Linked DNA regions of Oryzias latipes. The protein of the gene in region 1 binds, or shares a complex with, the protein of each later gene. Links are inferred from orthologs where the notes say so. Each region holds a gene or a part of one and is shown on either strand. Other genes may lie near its edges.

Evidence for each region.
Region 2: eif3e (region 1) and eif3g share a complex: the UniProt entries of both Homo sapiens proteins name them as parts of the eukaryotic translation initiation factor 3 (eIF-3) complex. The link is inferred for Oryzias latipes from reciprocal best matches to the Homo sapiens genes EIF3E and EIF3G.
Region 3: eif3e (region 1) and eif3i share a complex: the UniProt entries of both Homo sapiens proteins name them as parts of the eukaryotic translation initiation factor 3 (eIF-3) complex. The link is inferred for Oryzias latipes from reciprocal best matches to the Homo sapiens genes EIF3E and EIF3I.

Annotation. Positions count from the first base shown.
Region 1 is NC_019874.2:3,401,752-3,408,308, forward strand, and holds part of eif3e (eukaryotic translation initiation factor 3 subunit E), read right to left. Parts: intron 4,137-6,557; coding exon 4,010-4,136; intron 3,383-4,009; coding exon 3,281-3,382; intron 971-3,280; coding exon 861-970; intron 1-860. UniProt on the Homo sapiens protein: Component of the eukaryotic translation initiation factor 3 (eIF-3) complex, which is required for several steps in the initiation of protein synthesis.
Region 2 is NC_019866.2:8,455,789-8,462,893, reverse strand, and holds eif3g (eukaryotic translation initiation factor 3 subunit G), read left to right. Parts: upstream 1-3,366; 5' UTR 3,367-3,442; coding exon 3,443-3,465; intron 3,466-3,555; coding exon 3,556-3,602; intron 3,603-4,464; coding exon 4,465-4,556; intron 4,557-4,637; coding exon 4,638-4,697; intron 4,698-4,774; coding exon 4,775-4,879; intron 4,880-4,964; coding exon 4,965-5,160; intron 5,161-5,255; coding exon 5,256-5,366; intron 5,367-5,445; coding exon 5,446-5,582; intron 5,583-5,838; coding exon 5,839-5,945; intron 5,946-6,026; coding exon 6,027-6,042; 3' UTR 6,043-6,126; downstream 6,127-7,105. Other genes in the region: suppressor of SWI4 1 homolog, read left to right, coding at 1,204-2,133. UniProt on the Homo sapiens protein: RNA-binding component of the eukaryotic translation initiation factor 3 (eIF-3) complex, which is required for several steps in the initiation of protein synthesis.
Region 3 is NC_019869.2:26,644,422-26,651,519, forward strand, and holds the start of eif3i (eukaryotic translation initiation factor 3 subunit I), read left to right. Parts: upstream 1-3,359; 5' UTR 3,360-3,497; coding exon 3,498-3,500; intron 3,501-4,154; coding exon 4,155-4,247; intron 4,248-4,317; coding exon 4,318-4,405; intron 4,406-4,485; coding exon 4,486-4,551; intron 4,552-4,633; coding exon 4,634-4,783; intron 4,784-4,928; coding exon 4,929-5,056; intron 5,057-5,130; coding exon 5,131-5,241; intron 5,242-5,315; coding exon 5,316-5,405; intron 5,406-5,475; coding exon 5,476-5,549; intron 5,550-7,098. UniProt on the Homo sapiens protein: Component of the eukaryotic translation initiation factor 3 (eIF-3) complex, which is required for several steps in the initiation of protein synthesis.

The sequences.
Region 1 (6,557 bases):
AAAACTTAATCCGCAGTTAGTGTGGGGGTCAGCATGATTGTGTGGATTGGGCAATAAATACTTATCTGTGGGGTAAATGCCACTAATCACACAACAGATTCTCTTGGTTCCTGTTTGCAAACTATTTTAAATGTCCATCGATGGAAAAAAAGGAAGTACTGCAAATGTTCAGAGATGCTTGGCACAAATCCTGAGTACAAAATGTTACCAGTAGCTTATTTAAAGATACCTACACACCAGGTATTTGACGCACATTTAGCCCATGCTATTCACTCTGGATAAGCAGAACGGGGCTACTTCTTTTTTTTCTACTGTTTACTAGTGCATGTTTGCCACCTACAGCTGGAAGAGGCTTGGTGCAAAATGTCAAAGTGGTGCAAATCTTGCAATTTGGGCACGAAACAGAAACTGTTCCATTTAATGCTAGCATCCTTGAAATGGTGGATATGGATGACCATCATGTTAGGAGAATAGCCTTGGTTTATCTTTGTTTGAAAAAGAAACGCAGATGTCGCAGGCTTGTCACCCTTTCTGGGTTCACCAAGTAAACCAAATCCATACGTCACCACCAAATCCAAGTCCCTGAAAGGTCAAAGTTCAACCTGGTTTAACTGGTAACACATGTTCAATGGCCATGGGTTTTGTACGGAGAGCCTGAAAAAGGTCGTAAAAACGTTCATAGCTACATGTAAATGCAAGAATCTTGAACTCAGAAAAACCTGAAACGCATGTTCACATGTGTTTCCATAGACTTTTCATTGGAAGTAGCTGCTTGAACACGTGTTGCAGAGAGGGGTGTGAACGTAGCTTTTTGTAGAAGCTCATCGGTTCAGTTTGGTTTCAATTGTAAAGCAACTAACTTGATGCTGATGCACTGGTGAATTCTGCAGAAGGTCTCAAAGATGAAGAGTCGGGCATTTTCAATGAAGTCCTCCAGGCAGGCAACCAAGAAGAAGTCGTTCACAAGAACCTGAAAAACAAAAACAAATGATGTGGCAAAGGCTCATGCTAAATTCACAGAATGTCTCTTTGAAAAGTTGAAGGTTGAACTAAGATAAACTATTTAATTAGAAAACTACAGCCGGGACAATCACAAGTTTCAATGCGTCATTTGTCTTTTTGAACAAAATATTTAGAGGAAACAAATCTTTTGTTATTAAATGATTCATGTTGCCCAAGTTTCAACACTTTAAGGCCCGCTGTGCTTTAAACAGCCATGTGAACCACAGAGCATTTTGTTTTTTAAATGAAATATCACCATATGCGTTAGATTTAAAATGGGTTTTAAGTTTCTTTAGACAAAACAAATTGAGTTTTTCCCCCCTAAAGGCTGAGGCATCACCACTAGCTGTTAAAAACCAATCATTAAATAAAAATCAATCAAGAACTAGAATGATAAACTTAAAGAAGGCAGAAGGTCTGTGCGTTTATCAGTACACACATCACTTGAGCCACCTAACAACAAAAACTCCTGACTCGGACTCATTGACATTCTGTAAATGTTGGTGACCCAGCTGGTGCCTCAGAGGTTCGATTGTGCAAAATGTTCACTTTCTCAGCATTTGCTGCATTCCAACTCACTTAAAGAGCAATTTCCCATCACAGACCCCCATTTTGAAAAGTATGGAAGAATTACCAGCTCTTTGTTTAAGCTTAAGCAGCTCTTATCAGACCAGAGTTTTGGTCGAATACCTCCAAACGGCATCAAACTACAACATTATCAAGCAACACACATTTGAGCTTCAACACTGCTTATCTTACACTGATAAACTTTAAACAGCTAAGTACTCTAATTATTGTCATCTTGGTTTAAGGCCACATTCACACAAATTTTGGCTTGAAGAGTTATTTTGTGTGCAATCTAAGGGCCTAACTATTGGTAGCCTCTACTTCTCGCTCCTTGACGTGCCTTCATCTGACATCTGACAATGATTTCAGAAACCAGAAGAGTGGGAAAAGAAGAAAAGGGAACCTGTAAAGCCCAAACAGAACAATTTGGGTAGAGCTAAGCATCCCATTAGAAACACATGAGTTGAGCCATTTCAGGGTGGGGAGCAAACCAAAGTCACAAGAGCTTAAAAATAAAAACCCAATTCTTGTTTTTGCAGCCATCTTCATCATAAAAAAGACGAGTGAAACTCTTTTAAAATCTGTGTTCATCACAGAGACGTAACCTGTGTACGTTAACCACTGAAAAAAAAATGTCTTTGCTACCTTCTTGTCAAGCTTTGATGTGAATAATAGATGCTTCTGGACCTCAACCAAGAAACACTTAGGACAATGTTCATCCTTGCAGGCCATTACAGGAAATCCATTGAAAAGGGGCTGTTAAACATTCTGGAAACCACCCGACTCTTTAATCCTTCAAGACCGCAACTTTAGCTCTGGTGCTGACACTCTTTGAACCAGCGCAACTCTTCGACTTTTTACACAATTAACATATTTCCAACAGAACCGGAAGCTGCTTTTCTTTGCTTAAGAATCATTGCTTTACGTTAATTGTGTAAAGGTCAAAGAGTTATGACGGCCTGATGAAGAAAAAGACGAGGTTCATAGCAGTTTATGGTCTCTAATGGATCTGCTACAAGTAAGCCTAAAATATGAGAGGCAAGAGCAATATTTACCAATTTGTGTAAGATACTGTAAAATATGATGTCTTTACCAATGAAGCTGTTTTTAATCTCTTTTAAATAAACCTAAAAACACAAAAACAATCCAGAAATGGGTTTGTTACAACAGGTTTTCTGCCCTCAGTAGTAAAAGTCACCACATTGACTCTGTTCAGCTTTGTCCTTCACAAACAAAAAGAACCTTTATCCTGCACTACTCGAGTTCTATTTTCACATCAGGGATCAGGGTTACATTTGACCTTTACAGACCACAACTGAAATAAGCAGAAACAAGTGTCTGCGGAGACTTTTGCTTAGAAAGCTCTGACTGTTAACTACTGGCCTCATGGGTCAACGACAAGCCAAGCAGAAGCTGACTAAAGCCTGAGTCATACAGGAGACCGTCCTATCTGCCAGTGCGATACAAGACACAAACTGCGGCTGTTCTGTCTTCATCTGACCCACAGGGACAAAGGCACGGGGCCAGAGAAATCACCATTACTACCATGTTTACCACAAAGTTCACTGTTAAAACTTCAAAGACATGACCCACAAAACAGATGTTCTCAAAGGAGCTTGACTTTGTTAGGGAAAGGAACAATAAACAAGACCATCTACTTCTGATTGGACGGGAGTTAAACGGCAGAACGAAAAGTGAAAAGACTACTCACCGACTCGCATTCTCTGAGCTTCTTCTGGGCACTGTCAAAGTCAAAATTCACGTACAGACACTCCACAAACTCAGTGATTGGATCTTTGTAGGTGTAAGACTCCTAAAGAAACAAAAACAGTTTTTTTTCAGGGATGTCTCCATGTATCCCAAATCATGTAAGTCACTACTGAAACAAAAAGAAGTTCTGGACTAATTGCAGCAAAACAGAAGTTTTTTCCCCCTTTTTTCCCCTTTACAAAGTAAAAAAAAGAAAAGAAAAGACAGTGTTTTGTTTTAATTAAATTGCCAACAATAATAACACAGACAACATGACAAATGATTTGCACACTGGCTACAAAGGCTAATTCAAATAGGCTGAGTGAAAACACTCTGTGATCTTCAGACAGTTTCATCAAAGCGGAAAGAGTGACTTCCTCGCCAACCCAAGGTCACCAGGAGGAGAACACAGAGTCCATCTTTTAGTCATTCATTTTAGTAAAAAGCAACAAGCTTTGATCTCTGAAGTCCCTCTGTCACTGGTCAACAAGTAATGGGCATAGAACATAAAAGTCAGGTGGTTCCCCGCCATTCATCAGAAGTAATTGTTCAGAGACGTTGCCAGCAAGGCTGAAGCTCTAAGATACACCTGCTGTGCTTGACAGGAAGGGCTGGACGCTTCCTGTTCCTTCAGACCCTAATAAACTCAGACTATTTCAGCACCTGATGTTTGAAAAAGAAAGTCTGTTACCTGCTGTATGACCTTCACTAAATCCTTCAGAACCTGCCGGCGCTTACGCACATCCTTGTTTGTGATGACCGCTGTGGTTAGGTAACGCAAGATGTGGGGGCACATTGTCTGGATAGCATTGAGATATCTGAAAATGGGCAGACGAAAAAGTATTCACTTAATAGAGCAATGTTAGCAAAGACATGATCTTTACAAAGACACATATATAACATTCTGGCTGCCTGTCAGGGCCCTGGCATTTGGGATTGGGGAAAATACTTTGCAGCTAAACAGATACATTTTCCAGCAAGACCTTCATCTCTGCAGCTTAAAGCTTTCTCTTTCATTAGTCCTGTGAGAAAGGGGGGAGGAAGAGGAAACCCTGGCAAGGGGATATAGCTCTTGAGCAGGGACCTGCCCGGTAGCAGAAACTTAATCCATGAGGGACTGATGCTCCAACCACAGGTCAACTTGCTAAAGTCTGAAAACAAGAAACACAATGCTGTTACAGGCGGATTCTAATCCCACACTTATTTCAGAAAGAGGATCCTGTACAAACATGCAACGCCAGCACGCAAAATCCACTTTACTTGTCAGGATGGTCGTAAATGTACATTACCTGCGTCACCAGAGCGGTTCTTTAAATATGTGACCACATCTGATCAGAAATAAGGAAGTGGGCCCCTTAAGGTCTCTCAAAGCTATGGCCAGAGGAACACATGGCGCTCAAAGCAACCGTCCTGACAACAGTTTAATTAGCCGGATCAATTAGAGGGACAGGGTCCTGTGGTAGCTGTGATGTTGAGTCTAAAAACAGCAGTGGGCTACATGGCAAAGCCCGTCACCGGTCTCCTTTTAGGAGAGCTCCCTCCTTCTCTTTGTAGTTGTTTGACTTTTAAGGAAGACCACAATGCTTCATGCTGTGTTCCTGATTAACTTACACCTACACACTACTGGGGCCTCAAATAAGGGATCCGGCGGGAGTCCCCGCATCATGTGCAGTTAGACGGTTTTCACTGTAGCCCTGCTTCAATGGGATTTGCTCAGAAATATCGAATTTTTCTCTGAGTATAAGTCAGAGTTTTTCACATAGTTTGGCCAAGGGGTGCGACTTATAAGTGTTTTTTTTTACAAATACATATGCGCCTGTGTTTTACAAATACATATGCGCCTGTGTTTGTTATTTTCCTATCAACAACAACTAGAGGGCACTGCAGTTGATGGAGCAGTATTTGCTACTGACAGGAACCCAGAACAAGAAGCTCCGTTCATTCTTAAGGCCCGTACACACCGGGACGAATTTTCGCCAGCCGTTATTCGCCAGCGGTTTTCAACACGTTTTTTGTGTTCACACCCAGGCGAATTTCGCTGACGATGAGCCGAGCGAACATGCAATTTCATTCCCTGACATTAGATGGCGCTTAATGTAAAACAGAAATACTCCTGTACACAAGGTGGCGCTGCGCAACTTTACGCTTCTTAAAGTCGCTTTTCACTCAGAAGAAGAGAGCAAGTATTTACGTGCTTGTCAGAATCATACAAAGAAAACATGAATATTTCAAGCATCAGTTGCTCCAGCTCCAGTTCCAGCGATGAAGAAATGATTGTTCTGTTGAATGATGAAAGACGTCGGAAAAGACGTCGATTTTGGGAACATCCCATAGTTACGAGAAGAGAAGAACATGGGGAGTTTTATCGACTGGTACAAGAGCTGAAAATGTATGAGCGTTTTCGGGGATTTTTAAAATGTCCGTCAGTGAGTTGCATCTTCGTCTTATTTCTTCGCGGCAGTGTTGACGGTACTTGGCGTGTATCTTCTTCGCCGTGACGTATGTGTGCTCAGCAAGACAGTTTTGTGTTTGAGCACCCCCAAGTTGTGTTTTACTGTAACTTCAGAAGCTCCAGACACGTGTGCAAAAGCGCCATTCTCATTGGTCGAATAGTCTTTGACGCGGCGGGTCAAACCAAAAAAACAAACCCGAGGCGTTTTTTTAAAAATGACGCTTTTACGCGTGGCGTTTTTCGCGTCGGTGTGCACACTCACATTGGTGCCCTTTGTTTAGTCACGAGGTGTTCAACGTCGGCGAATATCGCGCGCGAAATTCGGCCCGGTGTGTACGGGCCTTTACAGTGGGCTCTGCAGAAGTGATATAAAGAGCTTAGTTGACTTGTTAGCATGTTCTTTATGTGATGGGTATTTGAATAATTGTTCATATGTTGTGCCAAAATACTAGATTCCTCTTGTGTTTTATGAATCTAAATAAGCATCAATGTTTTACGGTAGTGAAGTGTGCATATATTCAGTCTATTCTTCTTGTCTATTCTGTTGATATGATTTGCCTTTCAAGATGAAATGTCTGTTCTTGGTCCCGTATTTTATACATTGCTCCCAAAAGTTTAACTTATACTCCAGTGCCACCGGTCTAGGATTTTTTCTTTTGTTATGAATATTTTGGTATCTGCGACTTAAACTCCAGAGCCAAAACTACAATACTATGGATCACCACAAGGAGTCTGGAGGAGAATAAAAAAACAAAAAAAAAAAAAAGGTCCGTTATTTCCGGACTAT
Region 2 (7,105 bases), on another chromosome or scaffold:
AACATTGTGTTGAACAAGATATTGACTATAAATGTGGCAGCATACCATTCAAATAAAATTTGTCTGTCATAATTTTTAAACTGATTTTAAGGGATTGATCTTCAAAATATGTCATGTAGATATCCTTTTGATATATCAAAATTTAAAACGGACAGAAAAATCTCACGCAGGTGGAAATCAAATTATTTGATTTAAATCATATCTTACTGTTGTTACAGAGTGATCACAGGTGTGTATGAAATTTGTTAAAAAGCAGTTAAGCTTGATTTTAAAAGTTTATTCAACATCTAAGAAGCAAGAAAATTTATTGGTAAAAATCAACTAAACCTCAACTAAGCTACTTGCTCAAATGTAAATCTAAACTAAATGATGGAATCAATACTTTTATTTTCCAAATTAGAGTAAAATATTAGTTTGCAGACAATTTACTGATGGTTCGAACTCAAGTATGGGTAGTTAGTATTCAAAACACCCCAAACAGGAAGTATAAACTGTTATAATATAATAGGCAAAAAAGGCTGACAATTAGAAGCATCTTTTAAAATAGTTGAGCACAAGAGCACCTCAAAAATCAAATTTAAAAAAAACATCTGTAATTTCAAAACTTTCACTGTTCATAATTATTTATAGAACACAGTCAAAAAATGTATTTGGTTAAAACAGGCAATGAAAACACTTCTTTCACCTTTCGCAGTCAAAAAACTCAACAATTGTGGATGGAATTCTAGATTTTAAATTATATTAGATTTAAAACTGAGTCAAGGCTAACGTAATGTATTTATAGCCTTTTTTTGTGCAGATGGCAGAAGTGGTCATGTTCCTCGTCAGATTGTGAAACGCATGTGTCGGTAAGAGGAAATGACACTCAGGCTTTTTTGTGTCACTAGATGCAACACTTGAGATAATCGAGCGATATCTTTAGTCTTAAGTTTCTACACAGGAACTGCTTTCATCGCTCCTTGATAAATACAGTTTGTAGCACATTTTGGGTAAGTTAACATCATTTTTATAGATTTAGTGAAACCTGTTTTGACAAGTTTCTTGATAAGTTTTTGTATCTTTTTTAAAAGATACCTTTTACCTTTTCACAAAATCTCATTTTTTGTGTTCAAATGTGTTCAAGTAAACATCAGGGCAGCTGATCAAACTGTTCACATGCTTTCACAGCCACTGCCCTCCACACAATTGATCAATCACCTGTAGAGAAAGATGGTGAACTTCTCTGATTGCGAGAAGTTTCAGATCGGCGTGCTTCCTGCCATGTATGGAGTGGAGTTTATCGTTGCTCTTGTGGGAAATGCGTTGGCCTTGTTTCTGCTGCTCACCAAGGAAAGAAAGAACTGGCACCCAGGTGTGGTCCTGTCCTGTAATCTGGCCATCAGTGACCTGCTGTATGTCCTAACTCTGCCTCTCCTGATCGTTTATTATTCACTGGAGAAACGCTGGATGTTTGGGAATGCTGTGTGTAAGATGGAGAGGTTTCTTTTTATCCTCAACCTATACGTGAGCGTCTTCTTCATCATGGCCATCAGCGTGAACCGATGTGTGGCCCTCGTTTGGCCTTTCTTTAACCGTTCCTACGTGGAGCCTTTCCACGCCAAACTCGCCAGCGTCATCATATGGACTATCGTCGCAGTCGTCTCCCTACCTGTGCTGAAATTTGCATCTGTTTGCCAGCATGAAGACAACAACAACACTCTGTGTGTGTCTTTCTGTGACCACGTTTCTAATAATGCAAGCTCTCACTTCATCTACAAACTATTCCTGGCCGTGTTTGGCTGCCTTGTGCCCTTTCTGGTGACTTTCACTTCTTACTTTCTGGTGATTCGTGTAGTGTGGAAAAATGTCAACATAACAAAGCAAGAAAAGTACAAGGTTGGCCTGTTAGTTTCATCGGTGATCTTTCTTTATGGCATCTCCTTTGTACCGTATCACTTTGCTCAAGTCTATCATTTGTACCAAAGGTTACACTTTCCTAACCTGTCTGTTTGTTGGGTCTACAACATGTACCAGGTGTCTAAGGGACTGGCAACTCTGAACATGTGCATCCATCCCATCCTCTACATGGCCGTGTTTGACAGTATAAGAGTGGCATGCTGTGGAAAAGATTCAGACGACAGAATGCAGGAATAAGAAGCCCTTTATGTCTTTACAGCTGAACCCTTCTCTCTCTCTCTGGCTTGCAATAGCTTATGATGCTTTTCTATTGTTGAATCTATGTTTTTATACAGTTTTGTGTCCATTGTTTTAATGTCTCTTGTTCTATTACACTTTAGTTGGGTTTTTGATTGACAGGGAAAGTACTGCTTTGGTGGCTTTTGTCAAAAAAAATACTTTCTATCTGACTGGAAGAGTAAATTATAGGTTTTATCTGCAATAACAGTTTATATACACTCTTTAATATTTTTGCCTTCCATATGTTGAACTTTGACACTCACATGTTATGCATCAAATCGTTTTTCTTTTTCTGTTCATACCTGTCTAAAATAAACTGTTTCTGTGTTATGAAGCTGTTTGTGCAATCATTTCTTACTTGTTATTAGATGTTCAGGTAAAAGTTTTTCATAATTAATATATTATGTGTTTCTAAAATAGTTGAATCAGTGATTAAAAGAATAAATAAATTCCATCTGAACAAAACAAACTTGCTTCAAATCCCTCTCTTTTTGTCATATAGATTTTGTAAGTAAGTGAATAAATAATTATTTCATTTACACAATTTCTAGTGTGGTCTGAATTGATTTTAGGTTGATAAATTCAACTTATTTTATCAAATTGTTAAATGAAATATGATGTGGTTCTGCTACAACTATCTCAAAAATGTATGTCAAATTCTAAACTTATTGCCTGATGGCTAAACCTATTTGGTAGGAAAAAAATGTGAAACAATGCACGATTGCACAAATCTATCAACTTGAAGAAAACCCAAAACGAATCCAAACTTTAGATAACAAATAATAATCCAGTTTGATTCTTGTCAGAGTTGCCCAACAGAGCTTTAAGGTGTATAAAAGACTACACGCTTCTGAAGTCTTTTGTTTAAATGCCAATCATCTGTTCATTGTCTTTTTTTAATAAATTATTCTTTATGTAGCTTTTATTAAATTTCAACACTTTATAAAAATGTATATAAACGCATAGGAAAATGTCAAATTATCGAATAGAAATCTGTTTTTAATTAGAAAAATCAGAGAACTACAATCACCAGACAATAACTGATCAGATTCAGATGGCAATTAAAAAAAACAGATTATAATCCGATTTGTGCCATGCATGTAGCGAAAAAGTTTTTTCTTTTATTATTATTATTATTATTATTATTATTATTATTATTATTATTATTATTATTATTATTATTATGCTATTATTTTGAAGTTTAAGTTCCGGAAGCGACCTGCTCTCGGCGCGGCTCGGTCCTTCTCGAGCTAAGCTAACACGCAGGATGCCGTCGGTGGAGTACGACGAGTGAGTGTCATTTAGATTTTCCATCAGTGTTTATATGTCACAAATGTCTTTTTTACTGGTTTAATGTTGATTATCTTCTCTGTATTTTAGCTCTAAGCCCAGCTGGGCCGACCAAGTCGAGGAGGAAGTAGATGAAAGTAAGAAAGAAAGCTGTTAGCATTGAAGCTAATTTATGGTAACACTGCTTGGTTCAAGGAGGCCGGCTAACCCGGCTTCATGTCCACGTGTTCGTCTGCTTTTTAAAATAAATATATCCAGGGAAAAACGTTGCGTATACACGTGTTAAAATTGTTTTTATTTTAAAAGAAATAGGTTTTAGAGAAATGTCATGTTGGACGGTTGTTGGCGCAAATTTTCTGTTGTCAAAATAGCATCGATGTGGCTAACATAAAAGCTTGCAGCTAACAAGCTCCGTTAGGTTAGGAGACGGTAACTGCTCTCAAATTAATTATTTTGCAGTATGTCAAATATTCAAAATATTCGTGTTTGGCTCGCATTTAATTCATGTCCGTCCCGAGACTTTTGGCAAATCCCGTTAAAAATTGGGACAGTTGTGTGTAGTGAATTCAACATGTAATTCAATGTAATTTAATGATAAAATGTAGTTGGAACATCTGTACACAAATTATAGATACAAAATATTTGTAATTAATTATGTTAAACGCGCAATACAACTTATTAACAATATTTTGATAAAAGTAGCCCATTCATCCAAATATTATTGTGCCCTCTACTTGTTAGGTTTTAAATTAATAAATCATTATAAACGCATACAAAATTTACTTCTGTTGTTTTCATAAAACATGTTAGCATCACCACAACCCAAAAACAAAAACCGCAATACAAAGATTCGTTACAAATTAACATATTACTTATTAGCTGCTTTGTGAACTAATTTTTTTGTTTAGACCCAGTTGAAAAAATTAAATGACCTAAAATATCTTCTAAGAATTTTTAGGCTGTAATTCATTTGTCTACTTGTTTTTGTGTCATTGACAGCCACACTTCCCTCCCCAAAGGAGACGATTAGAGGTAATATCAAAACTATCACAGAGTATAAAATCGACGAGGAAGATGGAAAGAAATATAAGGTAAACAGCATGTCCACAGTGGTTAAAGTGATGACCTGCTTCAACTGAATTATTTCATGGATTCTTTTTCAATCTCTGTAGATTGTACGGACTTTTAAGATTGAGACGAGGAAAGCATCAAAAGCCGTTGCCAGGAGGAAGGTTTGTGGAGTTGTGTTTAAACTGGGATTACTTTTGTGGGATTGGTTGTTGTGCAACAGTGAGTTTACTCTTTTCAGAACTGGAAAAAGTTTGGCAACTCTGAGTTTGATGCTCCTGGCCCAAATGTTGCCACCACCACAGTCAGTGATGATGTCTTCATGACTTTCATCTCCAGCAAAGAGGTAATAACTTGCATTAAATATTATTTTCTGCTTAATTGTTGTGAACCAACTTTCCTTGTGGATTTACTAATTTTGCTTTTTGCAGGATTTGAATGCTCAAGACCAGGATGAGGATCCCATGAACAAGCTAAAGGGACAGAAGATTGTGTCCTGTCGTATTTGTAAAGGCGACCACTGGACCACCCGCTGTCCATACAAGGACACCCTGGGCCCCATGCAGAAAGAGCTGGCTGAGCAGCTTGGACTGTCTACCGGAGACAAGGAAAAGCCCGCTGGCGCCGGTAGCATTTGCTCTTTATTCTCAGAAACACTATTTGAGAATTTTTTTTTTCTAAACACCTCACCAGTGACTCCTGCTTCCTCTTACTTTCCTTAGCGGAACCAGAGCCTGCTCAGCCCGCCCAAAGCAAGACGGGGAAGTACGTTCCTCCAAGTCTGAGGGATGGAGGCCGGGGAAGAGGAGAGTCCATGCAGCCCAACCGCAGAGGTGAGGCTTCAGGGCAAAACATGTACAATTATTTTCAGCAGCAAAACTTTATCCCTTGAAATTGTATGTGATTGCACAGCTGATGACAATGCAACCATTCGTGTGACCAACCTGTCGGAGGACACCCGTGAGACGGACCTGCAGGAACTCTTCAGACCGTTTGGCTCCATCTCAAGGATTTATCTGGCCAAGGATAAGAATACAGGGCAGTCCAAGGTTAGAGGCCATTTCAAAAAAAGCAGTACAGATCAGTTATGAAGGCTTGTTTCAACTGAAAATAGGTTACTTTAACCCAATCATGGTTCTGTTTGTAATCACAACTATTAACCCTAACTTATATAAGCCAAAAAGATCTTTTTGGTGAGAGCTGCCTTCTGTCTGCATCTGATATTAATATGTCGATAGACAGTTGATGTGTGCTCTCATGAGCGAATGACGCGCTCCAGTTAACGCTGCATCTCATTTCCTGCAGGGGTTTGCCTTCATCAGTTTCCATCGTCGGGAGGATGCCGCCAGAGCCATCGCGGGGGTCTCAGGATTTGGATATGACCATCTTATTCTTAATGTTGAATGGGCCAAGTAAGCTTCTTCTCCCATTCAAGTATTTGTGTTAAAACATTGCTTTAAAACTGGTGCTAACATTGTTTATTCTCTTTACAGGCCTTCAAACAACTGAGTTCAAACGGATTTCTAGAAAGATGCCAGATTCTATTGTGGTAAAATGTGGCTATTGCTTCAATAAAGAGAATGAATTCAGAAATATCGTTGCAGTTTTATTAATTTTAAGGTTTTTTGATTGATTTCTATACCAAATTCACAGATTGTGTGCTTATGTTGCATTTACACACCATAGAATTTCAACAAAGCCAATATTAAATAAATAAAGCCCTGGTCTCGTGGATTGAGGACTACCTGACAGGTCAACCTCAGTTTGTGAGACTGCAGAGCTGTGTGTCTGACACCCTGATAAGCAACACAGGAGCCCCTCAGGGAACCGTGCTGTCCCTCTTCCTATTCACCACATACACAGCTGACTTCCAGTACCACTCTGAGCTCTGTCACCTCCAGAAGCACTTGGATGACACAGCTGTAGTCGGGTGTGTGAAAGATGGACGGGAAGAGGAGTATAGGAGCCTCGTGGAGTGTTTCGTCAGGTGGTCTGGGGAAAATTACCTGCTGCTGAACGTGGCCAAGACTAAAGAGATGGCGATTGACTTTAGCAGGAGAAAGTCTCCGCCCTCCCCAGTCTGTATCGGTGGGACGGATGTGGAAATTGTCTCGTCCTACAAGTTCCTGGGTGTACATCTAGACGATAAACTGGACTGGTCCACAAACACTGAGGCGGTTTAGAAGAAGGGTACGAGCAGACTTTACTTCCTGAGGAGACTCAGGTCCTTCAATGTTTGCAGTAGGATGCTCCACATGTTCTACCAGTCTGTCATGGCGAGCACCATCTTCTTTGCTGCAGTGTGCTGGCATCAAAGCAAAGGACGCCAACAGACTGAACAAACTTATTAGAAAAGCAGGGTCTGTTATTGACTTCAAGCCTGCCAATCTGGAAGAGGTAGTGGGGGACAGACTACTGGCTAAACTGGGGACCATCATGGACAATCCCTCCCATCCCCTCTTCAGGTAGGTGGACAACCTGAGAAGCAGTTTCAGCGGAAGACTTATACAACCCCGCTGTGCCTGAGAACGATACAGGAAGTCATTTCTCCCATTAGACTCCACAATTCATC
Region 3 (7,098 bases), on another chromosome or scaffold:
CGGGGCTTCACCCCTGCTGGGGGGGCGTTGGGGCTTCACCCCTGCTGGGGGCCGCGGGGCTTCACCCCTGCTGGGGGCCGCGGGGCTTCTGGCTGAAGTCAGACTCTGGGATTGTCTCCTGGTCCGCAGAAGCTCAGATCAGGTTTTAGCAGAAGAATGTTCCGGCACTTCTATGCAACGCTCGCTTCCTGCTGTCGTGTGCGGCGGTCTGAAGCACTTTGACGAGAATGTAATTCTGTTTCCCGGTTGGATCTCTGTTGACTTTAAGGGAATGTTTGGCGTCTGCCATGATTTTAAAAATGTTCACAGCCGAACGGAAAATAGAGAAACTTCAGATTCTTTTGGACTTTTTTCTCCAACCCTTTCTTTTTTCTTTTTAAACTTTTTTCTGCTTCTTTGTTAAAATGATGAATACTAAAATTCAAAAGCTAAAGTTCATTTCCTCTGTTGTGCCCCGGTTTATTGGTCTGAAGGAACCAAAGATCCTCCCCCCGTCTGTTTTTGTCTGCTCCTGGATGTTTCCTGCTGAATAAAACTCTAATGTGTTGAGGAGACTCTTGGGTTCTTTTACTCACTATGTCAAACATTTGATCACCTCTACAAAAAGGATGCAAAACTTAAACGAAATATTGAAAATGAACGAAAAAAATGTATTTTAAAATTGAAGAAACACTGAAAATTAAAATAAAAAAACAGTAAAACTTATCAAATGGAAAAAAGTATTGAACAACTGCTGTTTTGTTTTTTGAACTCTTTGGTCTTTGGTGGAGGGGGTTCTGTGAGCTCATTGGGGGCCGCCCCATTGACTGTAAACGAGAACTGGACTGAGTGACCCCCGCCCCTGGCGTTCCAAACAGGAAGTACCTGCTGGTTCCAGGGAGCCAAACTCCCATAGACGTCTATGGAGAAATAAACAGCTGTTACTCAGTCATTCTATTGTGCAGACTTACCCATTCTTGATCCGATACCTTTTTGTCTAAAACGTTTTATTAATGATCCAGTTTGTTTTCTTTATTGCAAGTTATTGAAGCTATAAACGGACCAATCAGAAGCCTCACTGGTGGCGACGTGGCGTGTTTGAGATCACCCAGGCAGACTAACCAGCATACACCGCGCACCAGGGTGACCTCAAACACGCCAAGTTATCGCCTGGCCCGCCTGATAACTACAAAAACTAAATGCATTGTGGGAAACTGTTTTCTTATAGTTTAAAGGGATGCTAAACAGAAACTGCTGGCGTATTATGTAACTTTCTGTAAATAGTGAATCACTGATGAAAAAATTGACAAGATTTATTTTCTACAAATGGTCATTGAAATCAACATCACTCAGATTACTTTATCATTAGAAGTTATTTTATTTGAAATATGTAATTCTTGTTTTCTACTGATAATCATTTTGGTTCTAAATGACAGGCCGAAATTATTTTGTTGCATTTATGCAACAAAAAGAAGTCATAAGTACAGGCATCACAAATAATCTGTGTTTTATTGTTGCCTTTAAAGGTTAACTTTTATTTGAATTTTGTATACTTCTCAAGAAAAAGTGCACAAGCATCACCGCAATGAGCCAGAATCAGCCCGGTGGCTCTTTTCCCTCCGTTCTCCCCGGACAGATGGTAAAATTTACTAGCTTAAAAGTTAAAAAGAACAATTTGTCACAACGATTGAAAATAACAATGAAAAGGATATACAGGAAAATGCAATAAGACTATGATAATTAAAATACCTATTGATAATTTTAAAAATATGCTACATACATTACAAAACAGGCTATATAACAATAATAGCCTAGTCCTAGTATCCTGTATGTGGGGTTAACAAAATAAAGTTTACATTTATGTCGACAGTAAATTATTCATCCATCATCCCTACATGTTGATAATAGCCCTGCAGCATCATGCATGTTAACATGTGTACTATTAAAAAAAAAACCTGTGTTTTATTAATGAAGCCCCTGCAGCATTAAAAGAAAAAAATTATAGTACCTACCTGTGAAATGTTCTGCCTTCCTCCTTCATGGACTCATTTCTCTGATTCTGGGAGTTGAAACCCGCACAATGAACTGGCATTTTGCAAAAAATGTGTTCACATGCATGCAGTGCTGCAGTGACTTGACCTCACCAAGATGGCGGTGCTCTCCTCCTATGTGGAACCCCGTGATGTCTCCTCTAGCGATAGAACTCAATGGTCTCAACCCCTTCCTTCTCATGTTCCCAAATAGGAAGTACCATTGCTACCTGATACAGTGGCCACTATGTTGTAACCAGTCGACAGTCCGAGTCGCTCTGAGTCATTGTATCTATGGCAACCACTGTCACCATTGCCATAGATACGATGACTCGGAGAGAATCGGACCAACCACTGTCGACTGGTTTCAACATGGCGGCGCTCGTATCAGGTAGCAATGGTGAGGGATGTGGCCTCCTTTCGTGAGAGCCGGAGGTACGGCTTTTCCTATGGGTGATGTCACAACGCCATTCGTCCAATGCTTTTACAGTCTGTGGTTCACCTTCATCCCAGACGCCTTTCCCCGCATGCAGCCGACTGGTCTCGTTGACGATCCAGGCGAGGCGCTGGTTTATCCCAAACACGACCTTTTGTCTAGCCGGCTTTCAAGTGGAAGGGGCGTGGCCTTCCAACAGGCTAAATTTTAAGTGGTTGCTATAGAAACATTGACTCAGATTGACTTGGACCTACTGTTTACTGACGATGTCTGGTTCCAACATGGCAGTATCTGTATCACGCAAAAATGTCAACTGTATTGACAATTTTTTAAAACTTTTTAACTGTTATTGCCAAAGAAAACGCTGGACACACAAAAAGGACGAAAATGAAAACGTAAAACAGCAGCTGTTGCAAAAAAGTATTTTTAAAATTTGGTAACTATGACGGTATTCAGTTTACAAACACAAACAGGTTTCACTTTAAAGCCGTAAATTTACGGAAAAAAAATTGTAACGTAAATTAGGGTTAGTATATTTTATTCAAATGTAGCCTACGTTTGTTCTCAAAATGTACACTGTGACTCTTGAGGAACATTGAACATTTAAGTGGCCTAGAATGTGACATTTCTTTTCTGTTTGTGTTTTTAACAAGTCATGAAAACACGAAGCATCAAAGTGTTGGTTCAGATTTCACACAGAAGCTCTTCTGGATTTTCCCTGTGTTTGGTTTTCTGTTCAAAATCCTTTTAAAGAAGATAAAAAGTAAAAATATATCAAAAATTAAAGCCATGGAAAATGTTACACGTGACACTCCCGCAGAGAATGATAAAGGTGTGCTGCTCTTCTCGTCCAGATAGTCGTGTTGGTTGTCATTATTGGTAACGCCGCCAGGGGGCGACGTGTCTACCGGAAGTTCTTTGGTTAGTGACACAAGCATTCCTTTTCCGGTGCAATTCCAGGGCGCCTGAAAACACGAGAGTCCCCCTTTCCTCTTTTCGTCTGAAGCTAAGTACCTCTTGTCGGACTTACTGGGGCCGTGTGGCTGACAGAAATGGTCAGTTGTGGCTTTTCTGAAGCTTTGTTGTGTTTCGGCCATGTTTGCTTTGTATTTGGCCTCTGGTTAGCTTAGCTCCGCAGTTAGCCGGTGTCGTGCTTGCTAGCAGCACTCATGCTGTCGGTGAGGCTGAGAAAGAATAGAAATCATTTTTATTTCTTTAGAATGTTTTTATTTTAGGCCAAAATCGGAGGTTTACGCGCTGTAACTGATGATTTTGTACAATTTTAAAAAACTAAAAGATTATAAACTACAAAAAGCACCAATAAATCAAACAATTTACCCTAAACTGCAATAATTAGACCAAATGTCATGAACTATTAAATATCAATACAAGTTCAGCCAAAATCTCAGAAACTGAACCAATTAATAGTTTTTATTAGAAAAATAAGGGTTTCTTGGATTTGTTTTTACTGAAGACCACATTATATCTCCCTGTTGATGACGTCATAGTTAGATTCTGGGACTGAAGGACTTAAATATGTTCATGGGTCTGAAAACAAACAAAGGGATGTGACTGTTTTCCTGCAGGCTGGTTGATCAGCTGGCAATTGTTTTTGATTGGTTACTAAAGATATGAAGGTTAACCTTTGTGGTGCTGCTGTGCAGACTGTCTAACGCTCAAACTAAAGGTTTTGTGACGTTTCCTGGCAGAAACCCATCCTGCTGCAGGGCCACGAGAGGTCCATCACTCAAATCAAGTACAACAGAGAGGGCGACCTGCTCTTCTCTGTAGCTAAAGACACGGTGAGCCCTCACCCCCCGCCACCCCCCCCATCTCCAGGTGTTTCGGACTCACTGACTTGTGTCCCTGCAGGTTGCAAATGCGTGGTACTCCGTAAACGGCGAGAGGCTCGGCACGTACAACGGACACACGGGGGCGGTATGGTGCGTGGACTGCGACTGTATCCTTCCTCCTGTGAGGATGAATGGTGTGCATGCTAACTCCTGAGGCCGCGGGCAGTTTCTTAACACGCCTTCTCAGGGGACACGAAGAACGTTCTAACAGGATCAGCAGACAACAGCTGCCGGCTGTGGGACTGCGAGACCGGTCCGTAAAATCCAAATGGGTCTGTGGTGTGAGCCAGTTCTATGAGCTCACATTCAAACAGAACCGTGTCTCCTGCTCACAGGTAAACAGCTGGCGCTGCTCAACACCAGCTCTGCCGTCAGGACATGTGGGTTCGACTTCAGCGGGAACATCATCATGTTCTCTACTGACAAGCAGATGGGTTACCAGTGCTACCTGAACTTCTTTGACCTGAGGGACCCACAGCAGATAGGTATGTGAAGTTAGCAGGAGCCTGGAGTTTGACGTCCCCGTTAGTTTGCTGCGTCTTCATCCCCCTCCACAGTGAAGCTGGATGTTCAGCTTCTGAAAAGCTGCTAGGAAAGTAATGAATCATGACTGAAGCATTCTGTCTGCAGAGGACAACAACCCGTACTTGTCCGTACCCTGCAACGAATCGAAGATAACCAGCGCGGTGTGGGGGCCGCTGGGCGAATTTGTCATCGCTGGCCATGAGAACGGCGAGATCAGCCAGTTCAGCGCTAAGGTTAGAGCCTTCAGACCTGTGTGTGGATTCTTTCTGAAGTGAAACTGGTTCATGTGCCGTTTCCCTGTGAGCAGTCTGGAGAGGCCCTGAAGAAGGTCAAGGAGCACACCAAACAGATCAATGACATCCAGTCCTCGGTGGATCTGACCATGGTCATCACCGCCTCCAAGGATAACTCTGCCAAAGTAACGACCGCTCCGCTGCTGAAGTGACTGTTCTGAGGAATCTCAAATCAACTCTGAATGTTTGTTTCTTTTAGCTGTTTGACTCCACCTCTCTAGAAAACATCAAAACCTTCAGGACAGAGAGGCCGGTCAACTCTGCTGCCATCTCCCCCATCAAAGACCACGTAAGAACCCCTCCTCCAAGTTTGAAAGAGATCAGGTGGATGCAGGTCAGTGACGCACATTTCCTCTCAGGTTGTGATGGGAGGAGGACAGGAAGCCATGGACGTTACCACCACCTCCACCAGGATCGGCAAGTTTGAGGCCAGGTGAGTCTGAGCCGAACGTCAGTCAGTCGTGAAGCCACAAACGCACCTTCAGCAGGAAGAGTTGATCCACATTAGCGTGGTCTCCATCAGAACGGAGAGAAACGTTTTCAGCCTGGAAGAACCCAACATCCAAGAGCTGGGGTTCTCACAGTTTTTGTAGCGGAGGGCCAAACCACGACACCGCAACTCCTGCTGCTTCATCACTGCGGTGATGAAAAGTCCCACACCGTCACAGCTCTATTCCAAACAGTACATGTGACGCGGCAACAATATAGTAGTAACAGCACTAACAGGGCTGGTTAAAAAAAACATACCAGTAAAAGTCACTGAGAGCAGCAGTAAATACTGAAACCATGGAAGTCTTCCTCCTCAGTGTGGGATTGGAATAGCGTCAGATATTCTTCACCACTCTCTCTCTCCTTCATTGTCATCAGTGTCACTCTGAGGTAAATTGTCTCCTGTTCTTGCTCTGTCCTCTCCGTCACGCAGCAGACCGGCTTTTCCAAACCCGTTGGTGATGGTGGATTTTTTCACACTGCTTTTAACTTGAAAGCTGTGTCATCTGCATTTCTTCTTGCATTTTCCATGATGAGTCTGTTCCTGCTATTCATTCACAAAACAGGAATTTACATTAAACTTGCGTCTTCCTCACACATACTGTATTCCCCCGTCTCACTCTTACTCTTTATGCTCCAGCGCCCCTAGTGGCCGTTGGACACGGGGACAAAAGTAGCCGCTTATAATCCAGAAATTACGGTAACCAGGCCCTCCAGATGTTTTACCAGTTGAGGTTGGAGGTTGCTGTCCAGATCTTCTACTCGTCTAGTATTTGTATCATTTGACAGACTCTTTTGCTCTGGACAAACAGCTACTTTCAGCATTTATTCTTTTACAAACTCCCCGTCCCTGAAGGGCTTGCTATGCTGGGCCATTTCCAAAGCCACAATGTAGCTAGTTTGTCACAGCTTAACTGGATGTAGCCATTTTGTAAACATCTGGTCTGCAGCTTATCCTCGTCGTAGTTGATGTAGATTATTGTTGTCCTCCTCGCCAGTAAATTTGTTATAGTTTATGATTTATAACATTGACTATTTTATCGAATTCTTGGAGCATTGCAGATACGTGCAAATACGGCACATGACTTTATCCAGCCAATGAGGTACGACAAAGTAAGCATCTGTCCACTTAGCTTGATAGCGCCTTTTCTCCTCGCCAACACGTTTTTCCTTTAAGGAACCTGCTCTGGCTCTCAGAATCCCGCTCTGATTCCATTTCTACTGCCGTCTTCACGGTCTTTCCTTTCACAGAGGCAGTGACATAGAACATGTCTGCCCCCTTGTGGTGAAATGAATACACTGTACCGCTGACACCCAGCTCTGATTACCATTTTTTCCTGCAGATGTTGCCAGAAATCACAAAATATTTTTCCTAGCAGTCGACAGCTGGTTTAATAACCATCAATTAGGGAATTGAGGGCCACAAAAAGTCTTCCCCCGGGCCGCATTTTGAGACCCCATGATAAGGAGAAACCCCAGAGCTGAGTGATGTT